Linked DNA regions of Nothobranchius furzeri. The protein of the gene in region 2 purifies or fractionates together with the protein of the main gene of each other region. This does not show direct contact. Links are inferred from orthologs where the notes say so. Each region holds a gene or a part of one and is shown on either strand. Other genes may lie near its edges. The genes, in order: prkrip1, snrpe, sf3a1, snrpa, sf3b1, eapp and ddx46.

Region 1 (2,785 bases), on a different chromosome or scaffold from region 2:
TGTACTCACAAGTGAAGGGAGATGTACTAGTTACTAACAAAACTGGAGGTTATGTTCTCTGAGGTTATTAGAGCCCATTTTGGAATATTTAAAAATATGAATATTATATATTCCCCTCTGAGAGCCTGCTTATATTTTGTCTTCCGCATAACAAACCTTTATTTACCCTCTGAAGCCTAACAGTTGCCTTGCGTTAGAAAAAGTCATTGCATGTAAAGTTGGCAGAACAAGGGCAAAACACACCGACGATGCACATTAAAACTTTAAAGAAGTACCCAGAAAAAAAAAATCTGAATTCAGTTCACAACCGGACAATATAGAGCATGTTCTGTTAGAGTTGTTCAGTTTGTACATTTAGAAGTGCTTACTCGTCGCAAACAGTCCATATCAAAGTTTGTACTTGGGCCAGAGATGAACAGCAAGACATCAGTATTAGCCCTAAAAACCAGAATTGGTGTATATCTGGACATATCTACTCAGTTATGATGCTGAGCAAAAACGCTCCTGAAAAAGTAGAATCATTCATTAATCGCAAATATGAGATTTAAAGCACAATAAATGAGCTGGTTAGAGCCTAGAGTCTGAGATGTGAGTGGTGGTTCACCACACCCCGTGTGTCCTGCTGCATGCCTCTGATAAAAGGATAAACATCTCAGAGGTGTGGTTAGTTTGAATAAGACAGCAACTGACCTGGTAAATGAAAGGCTAAAGCTAACGAGGACACTGATTAAATCGTTAAAGAGGGTATCAGGAGAACCTGTTGCCCCTGTACCGACCTTCTCGTAGGTCCTGGTCCTCCAGAACGTTGTAAGCAGCATAGTTGTCCACTCCGTGCATCCGGAGGATCTGAACCACCGCGTTGCTGAAGCCACACATGGGCTGGGCTGGCGTCCCTTTGATAAACACCACCACTTTGTCCTTCTTCACCATTTCACCAAGGTCCTTCTGGAGGTCCGCCGCCGCGCACAGAAACCTGACCGAGGCCGACCACACGCGTCCATCCGCTTGCCTAGGCACACAGACCGCCGCGCCCGAGCGGAGACACCTGGCAGTAGATCTAATTAAACTGTTCATCTTTTATGAGTTTTGTCGTTCGTCGAGCAAAACTAAAGGCGAGTAAACGGACAAGTTCAGCTCAGAGGCAATAGAGAAAGTCGTCCGTCAACACATACGCTTAGGAGGCGGGATCTGGATGCTGATTGGACAACTGAGCTTGGCTGAAATCGAATATGCTTTACTATTGGTTTATTCAAATGTCAATCAAAAAAACTCAACGTCAGTTGCGCAAATTACTTTCTAAATATTGATTAATGTTTTCATTACAGCCTTACTACGACCTAAATAACTAGTAATTGTTATACTTGTCATACTTTTTTATTTTTTCAAAAATTCCTTTCGAAGTCGTGAAGTACTTCCGGGGTGAGTTGTACGAAACGGAAGCAGCCGAAGAAGAAATTTTCAAAGATGGCGGCCTACACGCAGAAAAATAACAAGCCAGGGAAGCCCGGAGGAAAACCTGGAGGAAAAGAGGCGCAGCCTCTAATAATAGCTAAAACTCCGGCAGATGAACAGCGTTTAAAGTTGGAGCGGTTGATGCGAAACCCCGACAAGCCTGCTCCCATCCCGGACCGAGCCAAGGAGTGGAACCCGCGGGCTCCGCCGGAGTTCGTCCGGGATGTCATGGGCTCCAGCGCCGGCGCAGGCAGCGGGGAGTTCCATGTCTATCGGCACCTCCGCCGCAGAGAGTACCAGAGGCAGGACTTCCTGGATAAAGTTGCCGCGAAGCAAGACAAGGACAAGGAGTACCTCCAAAAAGTGGAGCTAAACAAGAAGGCGGCAGAGGAGCGGACGGCGAAGCGGAGGAACAAGCGGGAAAAGCTGAAGCAGAAGAAACTGTTGGCGAAGAAGGCTAAACAGGAGGAGAAAAACCAGCAGGAGGCAGAGGAGAACTCCGAGAGCAGCGAGGAGGACAAGAAGGAGGAGAAAGAAGAGGAAGAGGGAGATGATGATGCCGAGGTTCCCAGCTTCATCATGGGGAGGAAATGAATCCATCAGCCATGTTTTGTGTGTGAAGCCTCAGAGAAGCAACATCATATATGTCATGTAAAAGGGAAGGGGATGGAGATCTCAGGCATGTTTGGACTCTGACGTTTCTACACAGATCATTAAATCTGTTTGGATTCACTTTGTACAAAGACTTGATGTTTGCATCTAAACTAAACATGTGCTCAGCTTTTCTTTATTTTAAATCCGATTACCATATTTTTAATAAAATAAGAAAAAAAGTTTTGTGCAGAGTTCCATTTTTATTGGGTTTAAAACATTTACTTTGCATGTCTGAGCAGTAAATAAGTGTCTATATTTGGGGGTTTTGCAGCCTTGTCTCTGCTCCTGGTGAAACTCGTCACCTGTGGGCTCCAAAAGGCTGCAGAAAGCAACTCCAGGGATTAAAAGGCATGGCTTCTGGAGGATCTGGAGCTTCATGTGCGATGTTCCTTGGACAGTCTCCTGCTTTCCACGGTGGTGATGACCCTGATCAGTGGCTCTCATCTTTCTTGAGGCAGGTAGAGGAAATCCTGGCAGCCAGATATTGTTTGAACAAGGGAGAGCTTTTCCTGTCAGACACTGTCAGCTGTCACACTGTTACCTGTTTTATTCCATTTTTCTAGTTTGGTTTTGAAGTGAGGCCTTTGCTCTCAAAGGAGAACTTCAAATTTAGGGTGGGCACTCTTCTGCTACCGTAGACCCTATCAAATTATTAGTTATTAGCTCAAGACTAATAGAC
Region 2 (4,190 bases):
ATCTTCTGGTTGCCACTGGTCCTGGTGGTTTTCTTCCAGTTCGACGAGTTTTCTTTTGGAAGGCTGGCTGACTCCAGTTAAAAACCGCCACATTTCACCGCTAGTTTTAACACGAAGCTAACGGCTAACTTGATAAACTGATTGAATGGGATAGGTGGAAATGACGTTGGATGCGGCGTTCACGTTTCGCGTACGTTTGTGTACGTTGCATGCAGGCGGGAGGAGGATCAGAAATCCATGGAAGATGACTGATAAACATAACTAATTTGGTGCAAACATTTACTCGCCAGGTGGCAGGTAGAGCTCAAAAATTTACTCGCCAAATGGAGCAATTTGCTCGCATTTGGCGAGTGGCGAGTGTTAATTTCAGACCCTGAGTAGACGGCTGTTTTCAGTAGGGAGGAGAGACTGCTACCACCAAAACAGCTCTCCTAATGTCTGAAAGAAGCTCCTTCATGAAGGGAGAAACGCTCCCGGTGATGTTCTACATCTGCGGTAGAGACGGAGCAGCGCATCTGACCCCGGAAGTTGTTGTCCGTTGCCGGGAGACGAAGGCGGGCAAAACAGGAAAGGAATCTAGTAGCGGACGGACGTTGTTCCGGGTCTTCGGTATTTGGCGGAGATGTTAGTGAAGGCGAACTAGAGGAAACACAGGCAGATTCCTCCTCTACTTACTAACTCCTGGGGATGCAACAAGTGGGCGCGGTGCGTCGACTACCGGATCTGACGTTGGCGTCATCGAAGCTTTGCTACAGCTCTGGTTTTCAGTCACTCAGGAAGGTGCATTTGTGTGTATTTTCTCCAGCAGACTAACCTTCATGGTGATGAGCTAGTATTGTTTTTATGGGATGTCTGAAACTGAACACCGAGCTGAGAACCTGGTCGTGCGGACGTGACGGTCCTACCGGGCGGTGTACGACCATAACTGATGTGATCTTAAACACGGCCAGGTTGATGGGCCTTGTAGAGATAATCCCACTACGAGTTAAAGAGTTGTGACCAGGTGAAGTGCTGCTCTGCTTCAGTCTGAGTCTCTGCTTATGTTTCAGGGCTTTGATGAATACATGAACCTGGTTCTAGATGACTCTGAAGAAATCCACATGAAGACCAAGAACAGAAAGCCACTGGGTAAGAGTGCATGCTGACTAGGGCTAAACTGATTTAAGAGAAGGTTGAATTATGACTTCAGTTTGATTCTCCATTTTCTTCACATCAAACAGGCAGTTCTCCTGCATTACTTAACCTAAGCAGGTGCCTGATGGTTTCTTCTCACAAAAGCAGCGCTAGAACACCAAACTCACACATTTGACATGTTTCTTTGGGAAAAAGATCAAAGGCTGGAGAAGATTTGCAGCCGGGTATTGAGAAAAATATTCCACCATCATTGAATAAGAAAATCCCGTAAAACACTCTAAAAAGGTGGAAGGACTGACTCGAGCTCCTGATTAGCAAGGAAAGACAACAACAGCTTCAGAAAACAAACAAGCAGCAGGAGGAATGTAAGGAGCTCTAATCAGGCAACTTGGTGCTGACAAGAAGAAGTCAGGCTCTGAGGAAACGTTGGAAAACCAACTTTTGGAGGCAACCCCTCTGGAAGTGAAGAGGTAGAAGCACCTCTAAACAAGGAGAATGACGTGCTTTCACCAGGGAAAAGGCTCCCAAAGCTCCAGTAGGGCTTCAGGAAACATGAAGCTTTTACACAGCCATGGTCGTCAGACTCTGATGATGAAGCTGAAGAGATTTTGTTAGGAAGTATATCATCGTTTTGTCTAAGTGTGTGTGGGGAAAAATGCCAACAACGTTAGGAAAAATCAGTTAAATCAAATAAAAATAAAATGTTCTAGTATCTCATATTTCCTAGTTCCTACTGCATGAGTTCAGATGCATTAGTTCATGCACTTAAACATTAATGTTCTGATTTTACTGAACAACGTGTTCTGTAATAGTTCCTTTACTATTGTGATCAAACATATTTAATCTCAGTTCTGAGGCTGCTCTGTAAATAGTTTTCAAATAAACAATACACACATATCAACTTCTGATCAATCCATATCAATTTCAGATGTAAAATAATGTATTGATGTAAACCACACCCACTCATTTCCTAATAATAAATAAGGTGCATTCATCTGTGTATCTGATCCACATTAGTGATGTTTTCAGCACCAGAACAATGAAGCAAAGAAACAGATTCCTGAGTTTATGTTAGTAATTTTATTTATTAGGTGCATCTGACCTGTTCTAGTTTTCTCTGAAATGAGATCAGACCAGTACTTCTATGGGTCGTCTCCTCTCTGCACTGGAAACATGTACTTTATTATAATGTTCACTGTAATGCATCTTGATGTTCTTAACAATAAATTAAATCAAAGATATTGGTCAATAATGCTAAATATGTACATTTGTGTTTCAGTCATTTTTATACTGGCTTAAAAATACTTCATTAAGTCTACTAAGCAGGGGTGTAGAAGGTGTTTAACAGGGCCAGCCCACCAATGGTCTTGGACCAAAATAAAGGGGGGCAGAAGGAGATGTTTTTCCAGACGCCAAGTAAAATTAAATGCCCCCCCCCCCTGCAAAGTGTGTCACTGAGAGTTTAAAACAGAAATTATTCTTGTGCAAATGTTGGTGTATTCACCTTTAATACTAGTTATTAAAATGCAGCAGTCGCTGGATTGGTGCAGTTCAGAGTGGAGGGCATCAAATAAAACAATATTAACATGAAGGTGAGACGTGTCATAACCCCCCACCCCCCCCCCCCCCCCCACACACACACACAGCTGGAAATAATCCTACTGCATCATCAACGTAACATGATTTACAGAATACATGTGACTTAACATTTCGCATTCTACCACCGGATGTTTGGATCAGAATATGAACCAATCAGATCTTAGATCAGGTGAGAGCCAGGCGTTTCCGTCCTCTAGGTTTTGCAGCTGATGGAGACCAACTGCAGCGCCTTGCTTCAAAATCTGCAGCCGCCTTGATCTCACGAGGTTATCGCTGCCTACGTAGGCATGACGTCAGAGCAAGTCGGCGTCAAATCGGACAACCGGCAAGCACTGCTCGCTGATCACCGGTGATCTAATCTGCGCAGAACTGGCTCATCTCGAACAAGACCAATGTAACACATGTGACAGCCCCATCTAGTGGACAACTTTGGTCTCTGCACACACCTGTAGTTATCGTCCATTTATCGTTATCGAGGTGAAATCCTCAATGTATCGTGATATTAATTTTAGGCCATATCACCAGCCCTATTGTGTGTGTGTGTGTGTGTGTGTGTATGAGGAACACCCTCTGTAAAGCTGCTCCTGCTGGGTCCAGCAGGGCGGCCCGTTGAGCGGCTTGCTGCCACCCTGTGATTGTACTGAGGCTCTAGAATTCCTGGTGTTGGGGATTCCATGTTGATTTGTGTAAACGGACACTTTGTCTCTCGTTTTGTGAACTGACCTGTCTGCTTCTGCGTCTGTTTGTGTCTCAGGGAGGATCATGTTGAAGGGAGACAACATCACCCTGCTGCAGAGTGTGTCCAACTAGAGACGTGGAGATGCCAGTGACTCTTTTTTTTTTTTTTTCCGAGCAAATGTTTTTCCATTTTGGGGCTATTTGGGTTCTAATTACATGGATATTTTAATTGTTCCTCAACCATATTGAACAGTTTTGAAAATAAAGTGTTTTCTTTCAGTTTGTGTTGCTGTCTAAGTGTAAGAAGGTCTCTGAGCGACACTTCCAGCTGGTGACGGTGTGACGGAGCACTGCTCCACGTACACAGGTGCACATGTTAGTAAATGAATAAATGAAGCAGAACTCGGGCTCGTAGCTGAAGGCAGACTCGGTGAAGGGAGTTGTTTCAGCGGGATGACGTAATACCTCAGTACGTACGCAGCGTGCCCCTGTTCAGTTGACTGGGAAACCCCGAGCGCGAAGCTGCCAACGCCCGGCGGAGCAACTCACCTAAGTCCCACGGTAGGTTCGTTAATTTTGTCTGGTTTGTGCGGGTTTAACGTGACGGTGTTCGTGGTTTGGTCTGGCGCGTGTCTCATGTTTGTGTTCTGTATGAGCAACTGGGATGGATTCCCTCATTCAGCCATGACATCCGTTAGGAGTGGCTGAGCCATTTTAGCCCGCCAGCTAATGGAGGAGGATGGTATATTTAGCCTGCAGCTCACAGCGGCAGCATTATC
Region 3 (3,500 bases), on a different chromosome or scaffold from region 2:
GCAAACTTGCAACAGAGGAAGGTATAGGAGGTGGTTGGTGAATTTCACTTGGCTTGCTAGGACCAATTTTCTCCTTAGTGTCATCTTCTCCCACCAGCCCTTTGGCTTTGTGAATAGCTTCAATTTGCTCCTGCAAAGTGATGTTAGCCTGTGCAGCCTGCTGTGTACGAGCCATGCTTCCAGAGTGGCCGTCCCAAGTAACCTGATGAAAGTAGAGGAGCACAAAAATGTATTAAGTGTGCAAAAGCCAACTTTAATGTAGTTTTTTGTTTGTTTTTTTAGATAAAAGACTGAGCTGCAAACATTTCTCACCTTCTCCTCTGGCTTCTGAATTTCCTCTTCACCTATCTTCTTACCGATGGCCGTCTCTTCCACACCAAAGATATCAGTACGCCTCTCAGCGAGCTGTTTCAAGCTGCTTTCAATGTCAAGACCTGGAGCATAGACCTCATCTTCTGTCTGCCTCTCTCTGATGCTCCGATCTCTTTGTTCCAGCCAGCGCGGGTCAAGCAGACCAATATGCATGTGCTCCTGCATCTTGCTGGCTGGAATCTTCTCACCAGTAATTGGTGAAATCAGGTATTCATCAGGAACTGCAATTGAGGGTGGAGGCTTGGAAGCTGTGAGAGAGAGAAACATTATGAGTTTATTGTATATAAAGTAGCATCTTGTCATAATACTTTTTTTTTTCAGCTAAAAAAGGAGGTTACCTTTGGGGTCATAATCCTTGCGAATAATAACTTGGTCTGGAGTTGGAGGTAAGGGAGGAGGCATAGGTTTTTCAGGTGGGAGCGGAGCTTTCCTACCTTCATCTTCATCATCAGAACCCTGAAGGAACAGCAATAAAAAGAATTGTTCATCGTTGTTTCCTTAACTTTTGTTCTCCAACTTATGAATTAGCTGTATGGATTACTGAAGTACAATGTGGTTAATCAGTTCTAACCTCATCCATGTCCTGCACTTGAGTGTCTTGATCAGGTTGTGAGGGTTGACCGTCAGCCCGACCCTCACGTTCATCATCTTCGTCCTCGCTCTCAACCTCCATCTCCACCTCCTCACTTTCTCCATACTTCTCGTAACGCTCTTGGATCAAGATGCGAGCACCAAGCTCTTCAGGATTAGTAGGTGGGGGGAAGTGACCTGTGGGAACAAATAGACAAAGTTAAACGATTCTAGTTGCTTTTAGGGGCTTTGATGTTTGTGCCTACGGAGGTGTTACCTTGTTCATTAGGCTGGAAATCCACAGTCTCTACCACTACAAAGTCATGCCAGTCAATCTGGGCATATGCTACTCGTTCTTTCTCCCGTTCCTCCTCTTCCTTTTTCCTCTCACGCTCCTGGTACTTTGCCCACTCAACACGGTATCTCACCTGATGTTTGTACACAAAAACAAATAATCAGGGGGGGGGGGGGGGGGGGGATACAAAATTGCTTCTTTTGGCAAATACTGCTGAAAGAAATTACCTGGTCCATCACTTCTTTTGGGTTCTCAGCCTCCTTCTTAAGCTTAGTCAGTAAGCCTTTGGGAGGGATCAATATCTAGATACATATAAGAAAAATATTAAGATACAGCCAAGTGTCCTAAACATAAAAATAACACCAATAAACTGAAAGATATAATCTGCTAACTCACCTTTGTGTACTGCTCAACCAGTTTGGTAAAGTAGTTAAAAAGGCTGTGCTGTGGCCGTAGAAAGTCAAACTGGTAGTTCCTCTGCTCTTTCTGCATGAGCTGGGTGAGAAACTGTCGGCCATTGCGAGCAACAAACTGGGCAGTGAGCTTGACAACATCCAGATCAAATGCAGAGATTGATGGAGGATCTGCAATGAACTCGAACTCAGGAGGTGGTTCTTTGGGGATCACAGTCTCCTGAATCACCTGTGACTGCACCTAACAAACACAGCATAAGTCATTTTTGGGAGAAAAAAAAAAAAAAAATAAATAAAATTATATATATATATATATATATATATATATATATATATATATATATATATATATATATATATATATATATATATATATATATATAAAATATAATATAATATATATATAAACTGTAAAAACAGAGGATAAACGTCTTACTTTCTGTGGGAGCTGCTGGGACTGCTGCAAAGCCTGCTGCTGCATAACCTTAGGCACAGCTGCAGATGGTTCTTGTGCTTTGCCCTCTTTAAATTCAGTAACCTTATGACGGTAATAGGCATGGTATGGATCGTTGGGGTTGAGGAAATTAAACTTTGGATTGTTGATCTCATTCTGACGGATTCTTGCTTCGAACTCAGGCCCATTCCTGAAAAAGAAAAACAAGCAAAAGACAAGAGTGTAATGGAAACAAATACTTGGGGAAATTCTCACTGCAGATCGGTGACACGTATACTGTAACTAACCTGGCAACAAAGCTGGCTGTCTTGTCCACTATATTCCGGACCTCAGGAGGAGGGTATATGATGCCAACAATGGGCTTAGTGGCCGGGGTTTCTTCTGCAGGTGCATCGTTTGGCTGACAAGATAGTTGACATATCAAAAGATAAAGACACAATGCAATTTATATTTAGGATCATAACTACGAGTGATTTTAGATTATGAAGAATTACACATTAACAATCATTGACTTGTCACAGTCTGTCACTGACTTGAGTGCTTAAAATTTAATGACTATCTAGCAACCAATCAGGGAAAAAAGCTGAACTATTGGTTAAATAGAAACATCTGTGTAAACCCACCCAAAAAAGCTAAAAATAAAAAATAAAGACATTAATAATTAAATAAAAATAAATACATCTAACACCAGCAAATGTCAATCAAAACAAAGAATGAAATAAACATGTAGGAAAAAGGAAAACATGTTTATTAGTGTTGAAAAAAATATCCGTTTAGAATGGGAAATGCCTAAAAAATCGGTCATAAAACTTATTTAAAAGCAGTTTTTCCTTTTCAGGCCTTTTTGATTTTATGTTATCAGGTATGGATCCTAATGTTTGTCTTTGAAGTAAGCGATCTCTATCTCCAATATGTTGCTTTTAAACAACATTAAAATATAATACGATGAATAAATGTTATTTGCTTCGACATAATTCAATGTGGAGTGGATCATTCTGGAGAGAAAAGTTAACGTCCGAGTCCTTGGGTCTCGAGTTATGCGGCTTTAGGGTACTCTGGATATGGTCGTATATGTAGAATAGTTAAAAGTGTAATTGTATTATTCAACACATTAAAAAAGTCCAGATGCTACATAGCAAAAATATCGAAACTCTATATTTTTGGTTCAATAGTTTAACGAAACTGTAAGTCTTGCTAGCTTGGCAGTTAGCTTGTGCTAACTTGTAGCATTACCTTGTTGTTGGGCTCCGGCTGAACTATCTGAACAGGCCCAGGCGGCATGGTTAGGTCTGCCTGTGAAAACCGATTGATACCTGAAACATACAACCCCCAGGAAGTGAATTTGCAATTTCAATGGAATTTCATACAAACATCCACATTAAAATCACAGCAATGC
Region 4 (3,939 bases), on a different chromosome or scaffold from region 2:
ACAAAAGCAGTAGGTAATGGTTAAGTACCTAGTAGGTACAGATTAGTACCTTCTAAGTTGGGAGAAGGCTTCACTTTCCATCATCTTGCGATGGACGGATGCCGACAATGGACAAAAAAGTGACAGACGTGTGAAGTCAAGATGAAACAGTGATGTTAAATCACTGTGATGTTGCAAATTATCTGCATTGTTCATGAAGTTTACAAAAAAAAAAAGTCCACAGGCACTACATTCATTTGGGATTTGTTCCTTAATGCGTTCAAAGATTAGTCCCTGAATAAAACTGTTGGGTTTTCACCAGTATGTATTGGTTAACTACCTATTCTTCCCTGCTTCATTACTCATTACTCCCTAAGTCGTTCCCTAGTTACGAAGCATAATTTTACGTACCTTATTGTAAAGTTACTGTTATTCTTCTTAGGTTGTCTACTCTGCCTTTTTTTGACGTCATGTTTTTCCAGTATTTCTGATTTACTGTTCAATTCAATTCAAAAATACTTTATTAATCCCAGGGGGAAACTGATTGCTGTAGTATCTCAGAATAATAATAATAATCAAGTCATCAAAGAGTTATTGTATATTACAATGGCTGTTGGCAGGAAGGATCTCCAGTAGTGTTGCAGCGAAACTGAAGAAGCCTCTGACTGAAGACACTCTTCCGTTGTCGGACAGTCTTGTGAAGAGAATGCTCACGGTTGTCCATAATTTTCTTGATTCTCTGGAGAATCCTTCTTTGCATTATCTCCTCCAGTGGTTCAGAAAGTGCCGAAACTCTGACTGAGTCCTTGAAAGGGCTTGGAGTTCCTCCATCTTGTTGGCCAGTGATCTCACATTGCCCATTATGATCGATGGGAGAGATGGTTTGAATTTCCTCTTTCTCTGTCTCCGTTTTGCTCCCGCTCTGCACCCACGCTTCTTGCGTTTTAGTTAATTTGGGATTTGTCGCGTCAGTTGAGGTATTATTTCAGCCTTTTCAATGTTAAACAGCTGCTCCCGATTGTAAACCAGCTTGTTGCCATGGTTACGCATCATAACAAATGCTCAAAAAGTGAAAAAACCTAAACAATAGCAGCAAAAGTCCTCCAAGCTTCACAGCACCAGAAACAGAAAAGTAAAGTGTCCAAAAAAATACCGTTTTTCTTGAGAAACTAGAAGAAAAAATGTCCAAGAAAAGGCTAAACTTACATATAGTTAACAGAGCTACTCCAACATGCAGCCACCCAGAGCAGCGTAAATAAGAAGAAAAACCATTTTAGTTTTAGCCATTGTAAGTTAAATGGTGTTTTGAGTTTCGCTATTTTGATTTACACCGTGTGGTGGCGGTAATTCACCAGAACGGTTTGGTAACCAACAAATAAGACAAAGAAGAAGAATTTCTTCCTCTTGTTTTCTGGGGAAAAAAGTCTCGGAGCTTTCATTCAATTTCAGGTTGGTACTACGTCAACATCTAACGCGTTTTACATGGTTAAGTGCATTTTAACTGTTGATTTAAAATATTTTTGACAAGCTTAAACGATTTGAGGTAACGTTGGAACTAGTAGAAGTATTTAGGCAGATTAATGACGCTAAATGCTGTTAGTTAGCTTTTAGCTAACACGCTGTTGTTGCCTTCCGCCATGTTTGTTACCATTGCGTTTAGATGCTGGATTTTTGAATGAAATTGGACTTGAAACTGCGTGAAAATAAGCACATGTTTGAGTCTTTATTTTATTTTTAGCTATTTTATTTATTCTCCTAGCCTTAAACATGACCACTCCAGCAGAGGTGCGCCCCAATCACACGATCTACATCAACAACCTAAACGAGAAGATAAAGAAAGATGGTGAGTTTCGCATCATTTTCTTTCCTTTTCTTTGTTTATTTCACGCACAATTAATGCAAAGTCTCCTTTATTATTGTTATTGATTATTTGTTGTTTGTGTGTCTCCCTCAGAGCTGAAGAAGTCCCTTTATGCCATCTTCTCTCAGTTTGGGCAAATTTTGGACATTTTGGTCGCACGAAACCTGAAGATGAAGGGTCAGGCGTTCGTTATCTTTAAAGAGATTAACAGCGCTTCTAATGCATTAAGGTCCATGCAGGGTTTTCCTTTCTATGATAAACCTATGGTACGTCTATTAAACATGTTTAATAATGCACAATTTAGACATTTCTGATGGAAGTACACGTGTGACTCAAATATATACTTTCTTGCAGCGAATCCAGTACTCTAAAATGGATTCGGATATTATAGCTAAGATGAAGGGGACTTTTGTGGAGCGTGACCGTAAAAAAGAAAAGAAGAAGCCCAAACCTGAATCTACAGGAAGTAAAAAAAATGCTGCAGCGATTGCTGGGGTACCTTCTGCAATCCCAGTGAGTGCACTAGGTGTTTTTTACAATCATGGTTAAACAATCTAGATATTTGTTAGTGAAGTAACGGCAGGTTTTAGATGCATTAAGAGTTAAAAGCTCAATTAACATGAATAGAAACTAAACGTTTGTCATTCTTTAGGGAATGCCACCAATGAACCAGGCTCCTCGCATGATGCACATTCCAGGCCAGCCACCTTACATGCCCCCTCCTGGAATGATGCCTCCTCCTGGGATGGCTCCAGGCCAGATTCCTCCTGGTGGGATTGCTCCTGGTCAGATGATGCCAGGACAGATGCCTCAGCAGGTAGCTTGTGTTCTTTTTCCTCACAGAACGTTTTGTTTCCTGTCCTGGTAGTTTAATCCTTACTCTCTTCCCACAGGTTTCAGAAAATCCACCCAACCACATTCTCTTTCTCACCAACCTGCCAGAGGAGACGAACGAACTCATGCTGTCCATGCTCTTCAACCAGTCAGTACTCATTTTCTAGTCATACATTTAAACAGATGCGTAAAAATGGATCAACTTTGACTGTTTTGTGATGCTAACATTGCAAATAATCTGAGAATTTAATTCTCTCAAACTGTTTTTTCTGTAATTGTAACTGAGCTGCTCTGTGCGTTAAAGGTTTCCCGGCTTCAAAGAGGTGCGTCTTGTTCCTGGTCGTCACGACATCGCCTTTGTGGAGTTTGAAAACGAGGTGCAGGCTGGCGCGGCACGAGATGCTCTGCAGGGCTTTAAGATCACTCAGACGAACGCCATGAAGATTTCTTTTGCCAAGAAATAACGCATCTTCCACCAGGTCCTGATTTAATTTGCATACATGTCCGTACATGTAAGTATCTGAGTCAAGTTGCTGTTAAGAAAGTTGGAGTGAAAAACTGGGAGCTCTAACTTTGTGCAATGGTTTGGCTTTAATCTGTAATGCTTGCGCAACTTGGTGTCCACTTCTCTGTTTTTCTGTTTCATAGTTTAAATTTTTTATTATAAACTGTTAAAGCATTGCACCCAGTGTCTGGTCCACCAGACATTGTACCTGGAGCTATTCTTTTTTTTTTATCTTGATTAAAATTTGAATTGGTAAAACACTAGACTGTTCTTTCTTTCGCTGTGTGTGTGTGTGTGTGTGTGTGTGTGTGTGTGTGTGTGTGTGTGTGTGTGTGTGTGTGTGTGTGTGTGTGTGTGTGTGTGTGTGTGTGTGTGTGTGTGTGTGTGTGTGTGTGTGTGTGTGTGTGTGTGTGTGTGTGTGTGTGTGTGTGTGTGTGTGAACAGGTTTGAGCATAAAGGATAACTCAACATTTCCTGTCTGAAATGTCAAAGAAAGGAATTGAGTTTAGAGTTGCATTTGCTTAATCAAGCCAAGCCAACTTTGTTTATAAAGCACTTTAAAAACAGCCCTCGCTGACCAAAGTGCTGAACATAAAAACATAAAAGCATAAAATAGAATACAGTGTAAGGTTAAAAGCACACTAAAATAAAACACAAATCAAATAGAAATCCAAAACGTGTTGAAAGCCAAGCTAAAAAGGTGGGTCTTTAAAGATGATTTAAAAGTTTCCAGTGAGGAGGCCTTTCTAAGATGTGCCGG
Region 5 (3,353 bases), on a different chromosome or scaffold from region 2:
GGCTTATCCAAACGCAAGAAGCTGTTAGCGAAAATGCTAACAGTAGCTTTACCAACGTTAAGCTCAAGTTACCAAGTTTAAATAAACCAAAAACACCCAGCGGCAAACAGACCAGCATGGAGGAGAGACTGCTACCACCAAAACAGCTCTCCTAATGTCTGAAAGACGCTCCTTTATGAAGGGAGAAACGCTCCCGGTGATTTTCTACATCTGCGGTAGACACGAAGCAGCGCATCTGACCCCGGAAGTTGTTGTCCGTTGCCGTGAAACGAAGGCGGGCAAAACAGGAAAGGAATCTAGTAGCAGACGGACATTGTTCCGGGTCTTCAGTATTTGGTGGAGATGTTAGTGAAGGCGAAGAAGAGGGCGAGCTAGAGGAAAAACAGGCAGATTCCTCCTCTATTTACAAACTCCTGGGGATGCAACAAGTGGGTGTGGTGCGTCGACTACCGGATCTGACGCTTCAGCTCTAGTGGAGGTCAGAGCAAACATCTGAAAGGTGACGCTTGTTTTGGGTCAAACATGTCCATTTCTCTAGAGAAAGTTTAGCTCAGGAACTCGCACCACCACCGAGTGGTGCTGTAGCGGGTCCTCTTTCTGGAGGAAAAACTACATTTCAGCCGTAGAGTCTACAGACGTAGAGGAGGCAGCAGTGAGATTTTATTTTTCTACATGTTTATCATCTTATTACATTTGGGTTTTAGAGTCCTGTTTGATTCTGTTAGACGTGCTCTTTTAGGAACATTACTCTTTTCTCATACCGGGTACTGATCATTGAGTTCTTTTGATTATCAGGTCTGGTGGATGAGCAGCAGAAGGTGAGGACCATCAGTGCTTTGGCCATAGCTGCCCTGGCTGAAGCTGCTACACCCTACGGTATCGAGTCCTTTGACTCGGTGCTGAAGCCTCTGTGGAAGGGTATCCGGCAGCACAGAGGAAAGGTAAGAAGCTCACTCAGGAGAGTATCAAAAGTCCTCTGCAAGATCAACACCCAGCACTGAGTCTGCTCGTGGCTGCAGTGTGAATACTTGCTTGCTAAATCATCTCCCAGTAGGAGCTGCTGCTCCCAGTTTAGGTCCAGTAGAAGACCCCTCACAACTGGGAGCAGCAGACAAAAAAATCCAACGTTAATATTTACAAACAAGAACTTGTGAACAAGTTCAGAGTGTAAACTGCTTGTTTGGTCATCAGGGTCTGGCTGCTTTCCTCAAAGCTATCGGGTACCTGATCCCACTGATGGATGCTGAGTATGCCAACTACTACACAAGGGAGGTGATGCTGATCCTTATCAGAGAGTTCCAGTCTCCAGATGAGGAGATGAAGAAGATCGTACTCAAGGTAATGAGCAGTTCTTTATTATTGCCTGTCGAGCTCGTCGCAGGGCTATTGGTCCAGATGAAAAGTGCTGAATGTATTTGTAAAGCACCTTCTTGAGCCCTACTCACCGTGGACAGTCTAAAACTGAAGGATGTCTAAATGCATTTCTAACGATGCTTTGTTGTCTCCTAGGTGGTGAAGCAGTGCTGTGGCACTGATGGTGTGGAAGCTAACTACATCAAGACCGAGATCCTTCCCCCTTTCTTTAAGCACTTCTGGCAGCACAGGATGGCTCTCGACAGACGCAACTATAGACAGGTCAGTGAGTGGTAGTAAACTAGATGTAGTTCGTCTGAGAGCAGATGCCAAAGTTTCTCTGCAGTTTAGCATCGGTAGCATTGGAACTTGTGAAATCATTAGAGCTTTACTTGACCTTTTTTCAGCTGGTGGACACCACTGTGGAGCTGGCTAACAAAGTTGGAGCAGCGGAGATCATCTCTCGCATTGTTGATGACCTGAAGGATGAGGCAGAGCAGTACAGGAAGATGGTGATGGAGACTATTGAAAAGATCATGGGAAACCTGGGTGCAGCTGACATCGACCACAAACTGGAGGAGCAGCTGATTGATGGGATTCTGTACGCTTTCCAGGAACAGACCACAGAGGTAGGACAAAGCGCCGTCGTGGGAAAGTTTTCTTTCCAAACATGAGTAGTTAAATACCTCCATTTCTGTCTGCAGGACTCTGTGATGCTGAATGGTTTTGGTACGGTTGTGAATGCCCTCGGGAAGCGTGTCAAGCCATACCTGCCTCAGATCTGCGGTACAGTCTTGTGGCGTCTCAACAACAAGTCAGCCAAAGTTCGTCAGCAGGCAGCAGACCTCATCTCTCGCACCGCAGTGGTGATGAAGACTTGTCAGGAGGTGGGCTACACTGGACATCAAAGAGCCACATGTGACGTGGCACACAGACTGACCCTTGTTTCTGTTTCTGCAGGAGAAACTCATGGGTCACTTGGGTGTGGTGCTGTACGAGTACCTGGGAGAGGAGTACCCGGAGGTGCTGGGCAGCATCCTGGGAGCTCTGAAGGCCATCGTTAACGTTATTGGTATGTTGGGAATACTTCTGCCATAGCCAGAAGTTCATATTTGGTTCTAGTTTTTGGTTTCTTTTTTTTTTCTTTCATTCAAACCGGTTCATTAGACACAAATTCACGTTAGAGAAATGTGTGTCACTGTTAGCGATGGGTACCGAATTCTGTACTTTTTAAGGTACCAACCGAATTCCATAGTACCGACTGAGCACCGATTCCCGTCATTTGAAACGGTGCCTCGTTTCGGTACCCATCCTTCATAAGAGATGAGATTCCTAGGTACCGGGAATTAGTACCGAATCGATTCAAATGTCAAAGGTACCCATCCCTAGACTCACTGCCTTCCAGCTCAGTGTTTGGTGTTTGGTTGCTGCTGTTTGGGCCGTGGAACATGATGCATTTGCACTGATGTTTTTGCAGGTATGCACAAGATGACTCCCCCAATCAAAGACTTGCTTCCACGTTTGACCCCCATCCTAAAGAACAGACATGAGAAAGTGCAGGAGAACTGCATCGATCTGGTGGGCAGGATCGCCGACAGGTCAGTGGAGTTTCAGGCTTGAGCAGCTGGTCCACCACTGAGTCTCATTGCTTCTTGATTGTTTTTCAAGGGGAGCTGAATATGTGTCAGCCAGGGAGTGGATGAGGATTTGCTTTGAACTGCTGGAGCTACTCAAAGCTCACAAAAAAGCTATTCGCAGAGCCACCGTCAACACGTTTGGTTACATCGCCAAAGCCATTGGGTGAGAACATGAAATTTTGGAGATGCATTTGAGTCCCACAACATGCAATTTAGTCTTCAGGCAAAAGTGTCTGCTAAATGAACAAACATGGCTGATCTTTGGTCCCGTCTCTTTGCAGGCCTCATGACGTGTTGGCCACTCTGCTCAACAACCTGAAGGTTCAGGAGCGTCAGAACAGAGTGTGCACGACTGTGGCCATT
Region 6 (3,953 bases), on a different chromosome or scaffold from region 2:
CTTTTGAGACTTCTTCTTTTGTTTCATATATACATACATACATACATACATACATATATATATATATATATATATATATATATATATATATATGTATATATATATGTATATATATATATATATATATATATATATATATGTATATATATATATATATATATATATATATATATATATATATATATATGTATATATATATAAATATATATAAATATATATATATATATATATATACATATATATATATATATATATATATATATATATATATATGTATATATATGTATGTATGTATGTATGTATGTATGTACATTTATATATTTATATATATATATATATAAATATATATATATGTATATATATATATATATACATACATTTATATATTTATATATATATATATGTATATGTATAAATATGTACATACACACATATATACATATATATGTATGTATATATGTATTTATATATGTATATATATATATATATATAAACGAAAAACACTTTAAATCTTTTAATGTTTTTATGATCTTGGACACAGATACATTTATTACATATGTTTTCGGAAGGTTGCAGGTTCGAGTCCCGCTCAGTCTGTCGCTGTCATTGTGTTCTTGGGCAAGACACTTAACCCACGTTGCCTGCTGGTGGTGGTGGGAGGGACTGGTGGCGCCAGTGCTCGGCAGCCTCGCCTCTGTCAGTGCGCCTCAGGGCAGCTGTGGCTACATCGTAGCTCTTCCCCACCAGTGTGTGAATGTGTGTGTGAATGACTGATTGTGTTGTAAAGCGCCTTGAGGGGTTCCATGACTCTAGAAGGCGCTATATCAAATACAGGCCATTTACCATTGATAACATCACAAATATATTTCAACACAGATGTAATTTTTCATAAATATTCTATAATTTTACATGTGTATTATCACAAATATATTTCACAGCTTAGTGGTTCTTCATCACAATTATAATTAAATTTAAAGTGGTAATTGTGAAAAATTATTTACGTAATAATTAGTGTTATTATGCAGATTTCGCATACATTTCTATTTTTGTATTCGCACTGAGCAGGAATCGAACCCACGCAGTTCGACTCCCGGACAAAACAGTTTAAAAAAAAACTGCCTCAACCCTCCAGTCCACTAGAGGGCGCTAGGGTAGTTTGGAGTTGGTTTTCCACCAAGTGGAAAGGTGACATAGAACTAGTCGTTTTCTGTCACTACGTAGAAGTAATTATGTTCCCATAGTTAAACTTTCAGCCGTCAGAATGAACATGCTGAATAAATCACAGGACTTTGACTCATATGAAGTCGAAGAGCCAAGTGACGAGGAGCGGGCAGCGAGCAGGTAGGGATCAAATAAACTACGGTTTCTAACATTAGCATCGTGGCTAGCATCTCCGGTGTTCTACATGAACTAGACATCAGCTCAAATGGTGTGTGGTGGATGCATCGGACATAGGTGGCTCATCAAAGCCTGATCAAAACTATGCGAATGTAAACAAACTGTTCATAAACGTAATTGATGTTGGTATAAACGCGAGTAAAGCATGTTGCCTTCTATCTTATGTGACATCTGTTTGTGAGCAATCGTTCTAAAATAAAAAAGAGGGTCAAAATGATCACAACTGAAACAGCGTTGAGGCGCGTTAAGGTGAGGTTGGTGTTTTAAATTAACTGGTGATTCGTCCCTTTACTGGTTCAAACAGCCTGTTTATTATGATCCATGGAAATGAACATGGATTTAAGCTGCTTGGTTTGAACCCACACGGGCTTTTAGAAACTCGTTTTCTTGGGTTAATTTACGACAAAACTAGAACGAGAGTTTTGTACATCTTGTTAAAAAAATAATAGAGCAGACTTGTACACTGTGGTCCAGATGAAACTCAACACAACTTTTATACAGTATTATTAAAACACTGTCGACGAGAAGAGATGCTAGTACATACTCAGTCCGCTAACAGATTCACTCTCTCAGAAGAACTCAAGACCTTATCCCACTGAATCCAAGACCCCAAGGCCACAATGCCCCGAGCATTATCTGGTTGTTCTGCTCTGGTGTTTCTGTTTTATGTGACCTGGACTCATAGAGTTACTTGGCTGAAATATTTTCCCGTTGCATGTGATGTCATACTACTCACTGGAACACCTCTTTCTTCGTGGTGGAAGTGAAGGGAACAGTTTGTCCAAAAGAAGCTAGTTTGTAGCCTTATATTGTGCTTAGTTTGTTGGTATTGCTGTAAGGTGGTTATCGCTACTAACAGACGAGCTTATAAACTCAACTTGTTTTTATTTTAAATAACTTTGATGGGAACGGAAGATGGAGACGGACAGCAGCTGTCAATCACTTGTGTAGTAATAGTTAAAATAAGGGATGCAGCACCAGTGCTGCTCATTTGTTTTGTCGGGTAGATTTTCAGTCATCTCTAGGGATGTAAGACAATATCGATATGGCAATATATTGTGATATTTTTTCCAGCAATATTACATCGATATTCAAAAGCCGTGTATCTAATTCTTGAAAGAATTTACATGCAAACATTTGTGTATTTTCTTTTCGTTTTGTGCAATTTAATCGCCGCCCGCTAGTTTGCAGCAGTGTGCAACAGGTTTTGTTTCCACCATTGAAATGTAAATCCCTCCATCATGGTTCAGATACCTCATGTTAAACATGTTACGTATCAGTTTGGACTGTTAAACATTCTTACAATAAATTCAGTAAAAAAAATTGCTTGTAACGTCTGACTGAATGTATCGCAATATATCTTGATATATCGTATCGTCTCCCCTGTATCGTGATATGTATCGTATCGCCAGAATTTCAAAAGTACACATCCCTGGTCATCTCAGACCAAACATTTGAGGTTTTTTATTTTCTTCTTGTGGTTGTGTTTCAGTTCAGAGGATGAGCTGGATGTGCTTCTGAACGGGACAGCAGAGCAGAAGAAGAAGCTGATCAGAGAGTATCTGACGGGGGAGAGCGAGTCGTCCAGTGAGGATGACTTTGAAAAGGAAATGGAGACGGAGCTCAGCTCCACCATCAGGAACATGGAGGGAACCTGGGCACCAGCAGCTAGTAGGACACCAACAAATGTTATTATAACTAGTTTAGTTGGACCAAGGAAATTGTGTCCTGTTTTGGACGTGGCAACTAATGATTGTGTGTGATTAAATAATCATTGTGGCCCTCCGCGACTGCTATGAAATCATTCCTGAGAGTTTAAGTGGTGGTGATGAAGTTTCTCTTTGTTCAGACAGCGGTGGTGAAGGAGCAGGTGCCGGTGGCGTAGGAGGTTCCAGTGTTCCCAATCCACCGATGTATGACGAAGTTTACTTTGATTCTGACTCAGAGGACGAGGACACACCAAGTACGACGTCACTTTACACGACTTCATCTTCACTTTGATTTTGGTTAATTTCACCTGTTTGTTACAGGCAGCTCTACCAGCTGGAAGCGGAGACAGCGTGTAGTTCCTACCAATGATGAGCTGTTGTATGACCCAGACGAGGATGACAGGGACCAGGCTTGGGTAGACGCCAGACGGTAGTTCTGTAAAACACTGCCACTAGTACTTTTTTTGTCTTCTTGTAGGCCGTTTACCCATTTCTGTTCCTGTTCAGGTATAACAGCAGAAAACAACCAAATGCAGCCTCCCGGTCCAAATCCGGCCAACCTCGGTGTTTACCCAACAGTGATGCTGTTCTCAACTGTCCCGCCTGCATGACGACGCTCTGCCTGGACTGTCAGAGGTCAGGCACAACTATCCTGCTGTGTGTTCTTGTTGATTGTGTCAGCTAGCATGAACCAAAAACAAAGTTGTATGGCAATATCACAACGGGTTGCACTAATGTTCCCTAGGGTGCACGACACATCACAGATGGGTCCATATCATTTACAGTGTCACGCATGTATCAGAGCACAAAGGGAACAATGGAGTTTCATCATTTTAGCTGCGTGTT
Region 7 (3,500 bases), on a different chromosome or scaffold from region 2:
ACTTTCCGCACCGCACACCGAGGAAATTTTCTAACCACGCAGACGGTCGGGCGCGGAAAAACATGGCAGACTGGCAAGAACTAGTATGGCAGAGGTTCGTAAATACAGACATTTGTATGATTCAGCTCTCAAAGATCACCGTGATCAACATGTTGTTAATAATTCTTGGAGAGAAATAGCTCGCACTGTCGGATAAGACGAGGACGCTGTTAAAAATGCTGGAATGCCATGTTGTAAACAGTAATTTCTACTTCTACTATGGTGTAGTGTTGGATGCATGCCTAGAGCTCCATGCTGCCCCCTACAGTTTGGGAGAATATTGGCTCACCGCAGAAACGAGCCGCATGAACCATAAACACTGCGAGTTGTGAAGCGCGTTCCATCCGCGAGCCGCATCACCAAGCGGAAAGTGAATGCGTCACGCATAAACCAAGCCTTAGCCGGAGAATGGAAACAGATGAGGAAATGCATGGATTAAAAAAAGCCACACAGATCTTCGTAAAACTATAAACTAGCAATCTTGGACTCAACCATCTTCCCACGCAACGGGGATGGTTGTTGTTGGTTTTTGACACCAGCAGAGAGCAGAGCGTGACTCAGCTAGTAGAAGCTAACTGTTAGCATTAGCAACGCCACAACATGGCAGAATTCCTTCAGGCTTGAGTTATTTGTGCAGATAAAACATCAACATTGCAAATCAAACAGGTTCAGTGCCAGAGTCACGTTGCTGTAAGCCAATCAGAGGTGAGATGTCCAAAAACCGCGAATGAGCTAGACTGCAAATCCTGCCGTTTTTCACCCAGGCATTTATTTATACTAGAGACCGCTGCAAATGTATTGAAAAAAATTTGTGGATGACAGCTTTAACCCCCAGAAACCCAAATTTAGAAAACAACTGCAAAATCTTTTTTTAACCTTTCACATGTTGTTCTAGGAGGCCAAATAAACGGGCCTATTTACACATTTTAACGGCCAATAGTGTTGCAGAACTGAACAATAGGACCTATTAGCAATGTAAATGTGGTTTTAAAAAGAAAAAAAAATGGGGAAGGTTTATTTTTGTAGACTTAAATCTGATGTTGTAATATTACAACCGTGGGTCTCTGGGGGTTAATCAGTAATATTTTAGGATGCAGTGTTTTAACTGATGTAAACATCACAGGATGTTTTCTGTTGTTCCCCCAGGCACAGCTACGAGAAGCCCACACCCATCCAGGCTCAGGCCATCCCTGCCATCATGTCAGGCCGAGACCTCATTGGCATCGCTAAGACTGGAAGTGGCAAAACCATTGCTTTCCTGTTGCCCATGTTCCGACACATCATGGATCAGAGACCGCTGGAGGAGGCAGAGGGACCCATCTGTAAGGATAATTTTATACGTCCTGTATACGTCTTTGTCAGGACTCAAAAGAATGAATGACAAATGTGTTATGATTTTGGTGCTTTAAACTGTTTGATGGCATGTTTCTGCATCTCCACAGCTGTAATCATGACTCCGACCAGAGAGTTGGCGCTGCAGATCACCAAGGAGTGCAAGAAGTTCTCCAAATCACTGGGACTCAGAGTAGTGTGTGTTTACGGAGGCACGGGAATCAGTGAACAGGTAAAAACCCTCATAATGCAGCCGTGTGATGCTTTTTCCAACATGTTGTTGTCTTTTGAGCCCTTTCACTGATACCTTCTTCTCATGCTGGTGGATTGCAGATTGCTGAGCTGAAAAGGGGAGCAGAGATCATCGTCTGCACACCGGGGAGAATGATCGACATGTTGGGAGCGAACAGCGGTGAGTTAATCCACCTCCGTATTCAGACTTCATATTAGGGTTTTCAGATTTATTTGCAGCTTTTTTGTAATAACTGCATGGTTTAAAAGTGACAGTATATGATTCAAATCGGTACCTTGTTACTAAACTGTCGACATTATTTGGCAATTTTTGGTTCTACAAGACAATGATGTTTTCTGAAGATCAGAGCGAGTCCAGGTAGGTGGACCTGGCGCTGCCTCCACAGTTCTTGTGTCTCAACGCTGGGATTAATCAGACTGAAGAACAATTTAGATCAGTTAGGGTCTGTAGTCTGTTTCTTAAATGTAATTAAAATGTGATTTTATTATATTTGACTGCTAATCAGGGGTTCTGTTGTTTCCACACATGCGAGGTAATCTGTAATATGTTTCCCTTGTAGGTGAAGGGGCTCCGTCTCTTGTTTTGTATCTTGAGGCTGTTTTCTGACTTTTATAGGTCCCTCATGTCCCTGAGATGGTACGCAAGAATAAAGACGAGCAAATCCAGGAATTCAAAATGTCAAAAAAATAAACTCCTAAAGAAAACATGGATGCAGTTTTTAAATAATTTCAAGTAGCTTTATCCAGATAACGGACTGTGTTTGCCAGATTATAATGTTGGCTGTTTAGAGAAAAGAGCTTTTCTCATGGTTGATTTATATTCCCGATGCTCCCCTTCCTCAATATGTAGGTCGGGTAACCAACCTGCGCAGGGTTACCTACGTGGTGTTGGATGAAGCAGACAGGATGTTTGATATGGGTTTCGAACCGCAGGTGAGCATCACCCAGATTTAAACTATTTTTCATCCTTGGTTTTAGAGACTAGATGGTTACTTGCATGTATTTTTGGTAAACTCGCAAAAAAAAAAAACCGTATGTCACTTGCAGGTGATGCGTATTGTGGACAACGTGCGTCCCGACCGACAGACGGTCATGTTCTCCGCTACCTTCCCCAGAGCCATGGAGGCGCTGGCTCGCAGGATCCTTTCAAAGCCCATCGAGGTTCAGGTCGGAGGTCGCAGCGTCGTCTGCTCTGACGTGGAACAACACGTGGTACATATTTAATAAACTCCACGTCTAAATCGCCAGAATCATTTTATTCCACCAGCTCATCCTCTGCTGCTTCCCTTTTCCCCCTCCTGTAGCTGGTGATTGAAGAGGATAAGAAGTTCCTGAAACTGTTGGAGATTTTAGGTCACTACCAGGAGAAGGGATCCGTCATCATCTTTGTGGACAAACAGGAGCACGCGGACGGATTACTCAAAGACCTGATGAAAGCCTCGTACCCCTGCATGTCTTTACATGGAGGTACTGAGTCGCGTTAGGATCTGCGTCGATCATCTTACTTAAATCTGGAACAAAGGGGTCAGTGTTTGAGATTTAGTTTCGCTGTCATTTCAGGAATCGACCAGTATGACAGAGACAGCATCATCAATGACTTTAAGAACGGAGCCTGTCGCCTGATGGTGGCCACCTCTGTAGCAGCCAGAGGCCTGGATGTCAAACAGCTGATCCTGGTGGTCAACTACAACTGTCCCAACCACTATGAGGACTACGTACACAGGGCGGGACGTACAGGCAGAGCAGGCAACAAGGTTGGTCTAATTTTTTCTTTTTTGCAGAAGTTATTTTGGAAATATAAAATAAAAATTCTCATGTAGAGGTAGATTTGTGTTTTTTTTTTTTACTTTTAGTTTCTTTGAGTTGCTAGAAATAAA

The links.
Region 1: the proteins of snrpe (region 2) and prkrip1 purify together in Homo sapiens (co-immunoprecipitation; 3 studies listed by BioGRID and IntAct, counting the BioPlex papers as one, with this or other methods). This does not show direct contact. The link is inferred for Nothobranchius furzeri from reciprocal best matches to the Homo sapiens genes SNRPE and PRKRIP1.
Region 3: the proteins of snrpe (region 2) and sf3a1 purify together in Homo sapiens (affinity purification with mass spectrometry; 3 studies listed by BioGRID and IntAct, counting the BioPlex papers as one, with this or other methods). This does not show direct contact. The link is inferred for Nothobranchius furzeri from reciprocal best matches to the Homo sapiens genes SNRPE and SF3A1.
Region 4: the proteins of snrpe (region 2) and snrpa purify together in Homo sapiens (co-immunoprecipitation; 4 studies listed by BioGRID and IntAct, counting the BioPlex papers as one, with this or other methods). This does not show direct contact. The link is inferred for Nothobranchius furzeri from reciprocal best matches to the Homo sapiens genes SNRPE and SNRPA.
Region 5: the proteins of snrpe (region 2) and sf3b1 purify together in Homo sapiens (co-immunoprecipitation; 4 studies listed by BioGRID and IntAct, counting the BioPlex papers as one, with this or other methods). This does not show direct contact. The link is inferred for Nothobranchius furzeri from reciprocal best matches to the Homo sapiens genes SNRPE and SF3B1.
Region 6: the proteins of snrpe (region 2) and eapp purify together in Homo sapiens (affinity purification with mass spectrometry; 3 studies listed by BioGRID and IntAct, counting the BioPlex papers as one, with this or other methods). This does not show direct contact. The link is inferred for Nothobranchius furzeri from reciprocal best matches to the Homo sapiens genes SNRPE and EAPP.
Region 7: the proteins of snrpe (region 2) and ddx46 purify together in Homo sapiens (co-immunoprecipitation; 3 studies listed by BioGRID and IntAct, counting the BioPlex papers as one, with this or other methods). This does not show direct contact. The link is inferred for Nothobranchius furzeri from reciprocal best matches to the Homo sapiens genes SNRPE and DDX46.

The regions. Positions count from the first base shown.
Region 1 is NC_091742.1:17,911,967-17,914,751, forward strand, and holds prkrip1 (PRKR-interacting protein 1 homolog), read left to right. Parts: upstream 1-1,369; 5' UTR 1,370-1,464; coding exon 1,465-2,046; 3' UTR 2,047-2,285; downstream 2,286-2,785. Other genes in the region: glrx5 (glutaredoxin-related protein 5, mitochondrial), read right to left, coding at 777-1,074.
Region 2 is NC_091743.1:2,213,663-2,217,852, forward strand, and holds the end of snrpe (small nuclear ribonucleoprotein E), read left to right. Parts: intron 1-1,049; coding exon 1,050-1,128; intron 1,129-3,487; coding exon 3,488-3,543; 3' UTR 3,544-3,690; downstream 3,691-4,190. UniProt on the Homo sapiens protein: Plays a role in pre-mRNA splicing as a core component of the spliceosomal U1, U2, U4 and U5 small nuclear ribonucleoproteins (snRNPs), the building blocks of the spliceosome.
Region 3 is NC_091757.1:36,513,764-36,517,263, reverse strand, and holds part of sf3a1 (splicing factor 3A subunit 1), read right to left. Parts: intron 3,418-3,500; 5' UTR 3,386-3,417; coding exon 3,338-3,385; intron 2,505-3,337; coding exon 2,392-2,504; intron 2,295-2,391; coding exon 2,087-2,294; intron 1,892-2,086; coding exon 1,634-1,891; intron 1,540-1,633; coding exon 1,465-1,539; intron 1,371-1,464; coding exon 1,220-1,370; intron 1,141-1,219; coding exon 944-1,140; intron 829-943; coding exon 711-828; intron 621-710; coding exon 313-620; intron 203-312; coding exon 1-202. UniProt on the Homo sapiens protein: Component of the 17S U2 SnRNP complex of the spliceosome, a large ribonucleoprotein complex that removes introns from transcribed pre-mRNAs.
Region 4 is NC_091753.1:42,104,708-42,108,646, reverse strand, and holds snrpa (U1 small nuclear ribonucleoprotein A), read left to right. Parts: upstream 1-1,301; 5' UTR 1,302-1,428; intron 1,429-1,738; 5' UTR 1,739-1,746; coding exon 1,747-1,822; intron 1,823-1,933; coding exon 1,934-2,106; intron 2,107-2,194; coding exon 2,195-2,353; intron 2,354-2,492; coding exon 2,493-2,657; intron 2,658-2,733; coding exon 2,734-2,822; intron 2,823-2,978; coding exon 2,979-3,138; 3' UTR 3,139-3,439; downstream 3,440-3,939. UniProt on the Homo sapiens protein: Component of the spliceosomal U1 snRNP, which is essential for recognition of the pre-mRNA 5' splice-site and the subsequent assembly of the spliceosome. U1 snRNP is the first snRNP to interact with pre-mRNA.
Region 5 is NC_091754.1:36,033,485-36,036,837, reverse strand, and holds part of sf3b1 (splicing factor 3B subunit 1), read left to right. Parts: intron 1-795; coding exon 796-941; intron 942-1,191; coding exon 1,192-1,338; intron 1,339-1,509; coding exon 1,510-1,635; intron 1,636-1,760; coding exon 1,761-1,982; intron 1,983-2,057; coding exon 2,058-2,240; intron 2,241-2,313; coding exon 2,314-2,425; intron 2,426-2,830; coding exon 2,831-2,951; intron 2,952-3,021; coding exon 3,022-3,153; intron 3,154-3,271; coding exon 3,272-3,353. UniProt on the Homo sapiens protein: Component of the 17S U2 SnRNP complex of the spliceosome, a large ribonucleoprotein complex that removes introns from transcribed pre-mRNAs.
Region 6 is NC_091758.1:7,754,136-7,758,088, reverse strand, and holds the start of eapp (E2F-associated phosphoprotein), read left to right. Parts: upstream 1-1,153; 5' UTR 1,154-1,261; coding exon 1,262-1,341; intron 1,342-2,890; coding exon 2,891-3,069; intron 3,070-3,247; coding exon 3,248-3,361; intron 3,362-3,428; coding exon 3,429-3,537; intron 3,538-3,614; coding exon 3,615-3,743; intron 3,744-3,953. UniProt on the Homo sapiens protein: May play an important role in the fine-tuning of both major E2F1 activities, the regulation of the cell-cycle and the induction of apoptosis. Promotes S-phase entry, and inhibits p14(ARP) expression.
Region 7 is NC_091750.1:60,377,314-60,380,813, forward strand, and holds part of ddx46 (probable ATP-dependent RNA helicase DDX46), read left to right. Parts: intron 1-1,185; coding exon 1,186-1,361; intron 1,362-1,481; coding exon 1,482-1,603; intron 1,604-1,704; coding exon 1,705-1,783; intron 1,784-2,473; coding exon 2,474-2,556; intron 2,557-2,670; coding exon 2,671-2,835; intron 2,836-2,927; coding exon 2,928-3,090; intron 3,091-3,183; coding exon 3,184-3,377; intron 3,378-3,500. UniProt on the Homo sapiens protein: Component of the 17S U2 SnRNP complex of the spliceosome, a large ribonucleoprotein complex that removes introns from transcribed pre-mRNAs.